2 linked regions of the Rattus norvegicus genome follow. The protein of the gene in region 1 interacts with the protein of each later gene in a pairwise test. Links are inferred from orthologs where the notes say so. Each region holds a gene or a part of one and is shown on either strand. Other genes may lie near its edges.

The links.
Region 2: the proteins of Prmt3 (region 1) and Rps2 interact in binary tests that used the Homo sapiens proteins (3 or more experiments, as listed by UniProt). The link is inferred for Rattus norvegicus from reciprocal best matches to the Homo sapiens genes PRMT3 and RPS2.

What each region holds. Positions count from the first base shown.
Region 1 is NC_086019.1:108,677,424-108,680,923, reverse strand, and holds part of Prmt3 (protein arginine N-methyltransferase 3), read right to left. Parts: intron 2,911-3,500; coding exon 2,723-2,910; intron 760-2,722; coding exon 673-759; intron 1-672. UniProt on the Homo sapiens protein: Protein-arginine N-methyltransferase that catalyzes both the monomethylation and asymmetric dimethylation of the guanidino nitrogens of arginine residues in target proteins, and therefore falls into the group of type I methyltransferases.
Region 2 is NC_086028.1:14,250,517-14,254,197, forward strand, and holds Rps2 (small ribosomal subunit protein uS5), read left to right. Parts: upstream 1-1,331; 5' UTR 1,332-1,342; exon of another isoform or gene 1,343-1,476; 5' UTR 1,477-1,479; coding exon 1,480-1,656; intron 1,657-1,735; coding exon 1,736-1,825; intron 1,826-1,992; coding exon 1,993-2,100; intron 2,101-2,154; exon of another isoform or gene 2,155-2,288; intron 2,289-2,351; coding exon 2,352-2,685; intron 2,686-2,772; coding exon 2,773-2,864; intron 2,865-3,059; coding exon 3,060-3,140; 3' UTR 3,141-3,181; downstream 3,182-3,681. Other genes in the region: Ndufb10 (NADH dehydrogenase [ubiquinone] 1 beta subcomplex subunit 10), read right to left, coding at 3,353-3,456, 3,583-3,681.

The sequences.
Region 1 (3,500 bases):
GAAGATGCATGTTATCATAAATTCTGTGATGAGACATTCTTGGAGGCATTAGCACCATAGGAGTACCTGCCTCTCTGTTGAAATGTCTCATGATTCCCTACAGCTTGGGCTCACATGGCCTGGCCTCCTCCACACAAGCATGCAGTCCCTGCAGAGACAGAACTAGGCTACACGGTGAGACTCCATAAACAAATAGACCTACATCCCGGGCCAAACGTGTATTTGGATCAAATGTTGATCATTTACATCTAGATTAGGTGTAAAGACCTACTGGAAGGCATACAGTAATAATTTTTGTTTTTGAAGATAAAATAGAAAGTTCCCTGTTGAGTATGATAGATAATAACCAAAAAAGGAAAGAAAAATAAAAAACCAAGATTGCCCACGTCTGTGTCCTAAGTAAACAGACTGTAGGAGACAGGGCCGTCTACTGCGGCCATCCTTCACCTCCTGAGGACGGAGACTTCAGACATCATCAGCAGACCAGCTGCAGTGACTTTTCTGAATTCTACTCATCTATTAAGCAGATCTGTCCAGTGAGAGCAAAGGCAAAGACAGACTGTCAATGGCAATAGCTGTTTCCATTTATCACAAGTCTGGTAATTAATTCATTACTCTGCCAATCAACCGCATTGCCAGTGGGATCTGTGGAAGCGGGAAGGGTCAGCTTACCGTGCACATGGCTGTCTTTGTGGTTCTCAGGGTAAAGTCTGAAGAAAACTCCAAGTCTGAGATAGATGTGGTGTGGCAATCTATATGCTTCCCATTGGAAAGGAGAAAGAAAGAGATCAGTAAACAGGACTAGCAAAGCCTGGCTAACATAATATTCCCTAACTTCTAATCATATATGATTCTGAGGATTCTTTCCAAGCTAAAGGAAGAGTAACAGTTAATGTTTCTCTAAATCACGTTGCTGTCTTCTACTTTGATTTCCTATAAGCAATAATATCCATGAAATAATGCTTTGATCTGTCTGCCATTTTGCTGACACACTAAAGACCTCCAAATTTAAAATCTAGTGTTCTGTGCTTGACCCAAGATCACCTTACATATTATCACCACACACCACTCACATCTACTGTGCTTCTGGTTATGACATTAATCTTAGAGGAAATGGTAACTTGAAAACACACGCTGGTGAAGGGAAAGACTGTCAGGAAAAATTCATCTCTCAATATTTAAAGGTGTTTTTGGATAGAAGGAAAAGCCATAATAATTCAAACCAAACAGCAGAACAGAGGGTTCATCTTGGACAGAAACAGCGTATTTCTTTGTGTCCTGTCCTGGCTCAAGTTCTCCAAGTAACTTTGGGAAGGGGTGGCAAGTGACAGCCTGGGACACTACCCTCTTTATGACAGATAGTTGGAGAAACATTTTAAAGACAGTTATAGTGTAGGGCTGTTAGGTGTAGGAAGAATGAGAATAAACATGGCTGCACAGGCAAGCTCGCTATCACAGCATTCTCAAAACACGCTGAGAGTCAGCCCTAAACCAGCTGTCTCAACTACTCCAGTAGTTTAAGGGATCAAGCAAAGCCAGCATTCCCTCCCCCATTTCCTCCTGCTCTGCCAAGGTGACAGCAACTGTTCCCCTCTGCTCTGATCCAAACAGCTCCACAGGCCTCTTCCTACCAGAGTACCAGAGCGTGAAGCAGGCCCACAGTGCACCAGGGAACCCAGCAGCTCCACAGTTAATCAGGCTTGCTTGTTGAGGAGGCTCCTTTATGCAGAGAACAGCTATATATTACAAAAGGAAGGAGACACTGCCCTAACCCACAGCTGAAATCTTCACACACTTCATTATGTTACCAAGCTATGGTGAGCCTATGTAAAATCGACAGTCCCATAAATCCATAGGTTAACATGACAAAAATAAACACAGAAGAACTTAATGAGGATATTTTAACACAGCCATGTGGTTTCAGGTAAATTCGTGCTAATTAAGCTAATGAGGCTGGAAGAAGTCTAAGTAAGAACTTGACAGTGGAATATAGGATGAGAATGATGATCTGTGAGAGGGCAGCTTGGTGCCAGGCGGCAGTGAAGCAGATGCCAGCACTGAAGATGCAGGCTTCTGGCCCAGGAGGCTAGACTATGTATAAGTGAGTCAACCAGCTCCTGGACTTGGATTTGAAGGCTGATAAATGGAGTAAGAAGTGATTCTAAGCAATGATGGCCTAGAAGCAAGTTTGACCCTGTTTTAGAGTAAACCAAAACCAGAGGAGGCCCACATGGAAAGTCAGTAAGAAGGCTGTCTTCTACTTGGATTTCCTATAAGCAATAATATCCATGAAATCACGCTTTGATCTGTCTGCCATTTTGCTGACATACTAAAGACCTCCAAATTTAAAATCTAGTGCTCTGTGCTTGACCCAAGATCACCTTACATATTATCACCACACACCACTCACATCTACTGTGACCCATGTCCTTGGATCAAGGCAACTGTGAACTAAAAGCATTATATTTTTTTATACCTGAACCAAGCGTGTGCAGAGGTCTAGCTTCTCAAATGCTGTAAACAGTACAGTTTACTACTTGAACAGCACTCACTTTGTAACAAATGTAAGTGAAGTAAGTGATAATTTAAAATGTGTGCAGGCCACATGCAGACACTCCCTCATTTTGCATAAGGGTTTTCTGCACATCTATTAGACAGTGGCTTGTGCAGGGAGTCTTAGCATCAAACCCCACAGACACAGAGGGAATGCTCACACACCTACCTTGATATCACAAGGGTCTGAAATGAGAGTCTTGTGATCTACAACTTCCACAACAGCTTCTGGTATAACTGCTTTCTTCATGCAGGACATGTTGAAGCCATAGACGTCATCCCAGAAGGCAATTCTATCGGCGTGTTTGCTCACGTCACTCACGGCCACAAGGCTGATGGTGCAAATGTCAGGGTAGACTAGAATAAAGAAAATGCCCATATATGGAGCAACTTCGTTTCAATGAAAGGATGGTTTTAAATGGCTAAATATAAATATCAAACCTATCTATATGGACTACTTAGCAGGGGGAGATCAATGAAGACAGAGACAGAGACAACCGACCCCAGTGCCTATAGTTGTGATGGTAAAGTCAACATTCCAACGATAGGTTCCTATTAAAATTACTCAAACACTCTTGAAACAAACATACTAATATTAAAGCTAAAATATGACAACTTAAAACAGCCCTCTAAACTGCTATTTCACATATTCCCCTAAAGTAAAGAAAACTATCCAGAAAAGTATGTAGCACCACAGGGGGAAATCACCCTGGAGTTTTATGGGCAGGTAGAGGAGCAGCTCATACTATACTTTAATATAAAATGATCATTAAGTATCTTCCAATCTAAATTAAACACTGTGGATACAAATTCCTACTCTCAAGAAATTTGTACTTATCTATTTATTTTGAGACGGGCTCTCATGTCACCCAGACTGGTCTCAAAAGAGAAGTATAAGGCACTATGGATCACCTACCAAAACCAATAAATTCAGACAAGGCTTTAAC
Region 2 (3,681 bases), on another chromosome or scaffold:
ACTGTATGTACAGCAAGCCTGCCTCTCCAGTACAGGCAATCACACCCAGGCTCCAGTCAGTGTAACCCCAATCTTTGAAAGGCTGAAGTAGGATTGTTAAAATTCAGGGCATTCCTAGAGTACAAGGCACAACCCAGTCTCACCAAAAAGTGGAAAAAAAAACTGGTTCAAAACCGCTCTTAGGTTGGAGAGATGGCTCAGTGGTTAAGAACACCGGCTGCTCTTCCAGAGGTCCAGAGTTGGAATCCAAGCAACCACACAGTGGCTCACATCCATCTGTAATGAGATCTGATGCTCTATTCTGGTGTGTCTGAGGGCACCTACAGTGTACTTATATATAATAAATCTTTAAAAAAGAAAAACCCGTTCTTATGGGAGTCAGTTACACCAAGTGATGTACATTCACGCAAGCAAAACAAAGCACATTAAAACGCACAAGAATCCGCCTGCCTTGGGTACCCAGATGCTGACTGCTGAGACTAACACACCGGTTGAGAATGCACTTTCCGGGGTTGGGGATTTAGCTCAGTGGTAGAGCGCTTGCCTAGCAACCGCAAGGCCCTGGGTTCGGTCCCCAGTTCCGAAAAAAAAAAAAAGAAAAAAGAGAATGCACTTTCCACCTAGACTGATGGTAACCGTCCAACACATTAATACACAGTTAAGTTAAAACATTTTATTTGAGAAAAGAGGACATCCGAACCCTGTCATTCTCGCGGGAGAGTCAGCGGCAACGTCCAGATCCGGTGGAATTAACTCATTTTGAGAAAAGAGGACACCCGAACACTGCCACTCTTGCGGGGGAGGCGGCGACAACGTTCAGATCCAGTGGAACCTGTGAAATAAATGACGTGATTAGGACTGTGGCCCCAAGCCAGACCGCGGGAGCGGCGAGGCGATCTGGAATGTAGGGGCCTGGGTTTCACCCTCCCACACTGGGGCAGCAGGGGGTGAGCTGAGGCCTCTGTGGCTCTGGGCGCCGATTCTCAACCCCGGCCACAGGCCAAAGCCGAGGATGATTTTCAACGAACGCCCATTTACTGGGTCAAAGCCCATCAGGAGCGACCTACCTGGACATGAAAACGGAAGCACGAACTCGTGGACACTAGGAAGACCACAAAGCGCCGGCGCGAGTATTTATATACGCGCTTCCGGCTGGTGGCGTTCGCGGCTTCGGCGAGGGGAAGTGCGCAGGCGCAAGTAGACCGTGGCGGAGGCGGGACAAGACGCAGCCAATCACAGCCTGCAGTTGCCCTGTATAGACGTTCGAGATCTCGCGGCTCTTGGCTCGCTATAAAAGGTCCCTTCCGCAGCGCCTCCCTCTTCTTTTTCTTCGGGAAAACACGTGAGTCTGTGTTACTGGGCTCTGATCTTGCGGCCTGGGCTGTGGGAATCCGTGGACATCCGGACGGACACAGCTTTGGCAGCTCCGCGGACCCTGGGGTTCTACTGATTTGCTTTTTCTTCTCTTGTCACTAGCAAATGGCGGATGACGCCGGTGCAGCGGGAGGGCCCGGAGGACCCGGGGGCCCAGGATTAGGAGGCCGCGGCGGCTTCCGCGGAGGATTCGGCAGCGGCCTTAGGGGCCGCGGTCGTGGCCGAGGCCGTGGCCGCGGTCGAGGCCGCGGGGCTCGTGGAGGTAAAGCTGAAGACAAGGAGGTAGGTGTGGGCCGCTGGCGGAGCGGGCTGCTCACCCTCTGCACGGAGATGCAGCCCTTTGACTGATCTCTTCCTTCAGTGGATCCCCGTTACCAAGCTGGGCCGCCTGGTTAAGGACATGAAGATCAAGTCCTTGGAGGAGATCTACCTGTTCTCCCTGCCCATTAAGGTACAAAGATGAGTCCGTGCATAAACAACTCAAGGGCGGGAATATCTAGATGGCTCTAAGTGTGCTGCCACATTTTATTGTCAAGGGTGGAGGAGGATTGGAATACCCTTCTTTGTCCATTGGTAGGGAGCGAATTTAATGTATTTGCCATAAAATCTCTTTTACAGGAGTCTGAGATTATTGACTTTTTCCTGGGTGCATCTCTAAAGGATGAAGTTCTGAAAATCATGCCAGTGCAGAAGCAGACTCGGGCTGGCCAGCGGACCAGGTTCAAGGTTAGTTAGGATCGTTTCTTGGCAAGAGCCGTTTGAACAGTAGGGCTGTACTTAACTCTCTCACTCTGCATGGTTACACTAGGCTTTACCCGTGTGACTTTCGTACCGGGAGAGAGAGAAAAGGAGTTCCTCCAGTACTTGGGATTGGCCTCACAGTGGCCTTTCTTGCTTAGAGGAGCACCACAGGTCCTGTTTGGGATGTGCTGGTGGCATGAGGTATCTACAGCCATTTCACTTAAGTCTTTTCACAGGCCTTTGTCGCTATTGGGGACTACAATGGCCACGTTGGTCTTGGTGTTAAGTGCTCCAAGGAGGTAGCCACTGCCATCCGAGGGGCCATCATCCTGGCCAAGCTTTCGATCGTCCCAGTGCGGAGAGGCTACTGGGGGAACAAGATTGGCAAGCCCCACACTGTGCCATGCAAGGTGACAGGCCGCTGTGGCTCTGTGCTGGTTCGTCTCATCCCTGCCCCCAGAGGCACTGGCATTGTCTCTGCTCCTGTGCCCAAGAAGCTACTGATGATGGCCGGTATAGATGACTGCTACACTTCAGCCAGGGGCTGCACTGCCACCCTGGGCAACTTTGGTAGGTAGCTCATTTATTGTGGCCTCTCTTCAGCTGTTTTAATCTTAAAAAAAAAAAGACAAAACCAACTCTTTTACTGTTTCACAGCCAAGGCCACCTTTGATGCCATCTCCAAGACCTACAGCTACCTGACCCCTGACCTCTGGAAAGAGACTGTGTTCACCAAGTCTCCTTATCAGGTAGGCTGATTCAGATGGTGGTGTGTTGGGGATTTAGCTCAGTGGTAGAGCGCTTGCCTAGGAAGCGCAAGGCCCTGGGTTCGGTCCCCAGCTCCGGAAAAAAAAAAAAGAACCAGATGGTGGTGTGTTTAGCTGCCTTAAGCTTTGTTGCCTGAGTTGGGGGCATGTTGTATACTAATGTCCTTCTCTTTTTAGGAATTCACTGACCATCTTGTGAAAACCCACACCAGAGTCTCTGTTCAGAGGACCCAGGCTCCAGCTGTGGCTACCACATAAGGGTTTTTATACAAGAAAAATAAATGAATTAAGTCTGTTAATTGTGTTTTTCCTTTTGTCTGTCTCCCCCATACCTGGAACTACACAGCTCTGGCTGGCTCAAAATGAGCCCAACTAAGCGGCTGTGCAACTTAGACACAGAGACACAGGTGATGGCCAGGCCTGTCATTTTATTTCAGCAGTGGATGAACAAGAGTTCTTTGTCTGGTGTCTTAGGCGGCAGCAGTCTCCTTGGCAGCCTTTCTCTCTTCCAGCATCCTCTGCTTCTGCTTTGCCAGGCACTTCCTGGCAGAATAGTAGGCTCCCAGGTCCTGGTCTGGAGGAGAGATGGGCCATGGAGAGCTTGTTATAGGCAGGTTTTAGTAACGCGGGAAACAAGGACCCAAAACTGATCATACAGCTGAAAGGGTGGGGAAAGCCACAAGGTAAAAGGGTCACTCACAGCGGTCCTGGTAGGCTTTAGACACTTGGGTGAATTGCTCCAATTCCTTGGCACAGTTCTGCAGTGCACTCTCTCCTTCCCTCTGCTGACAAGCCTTAA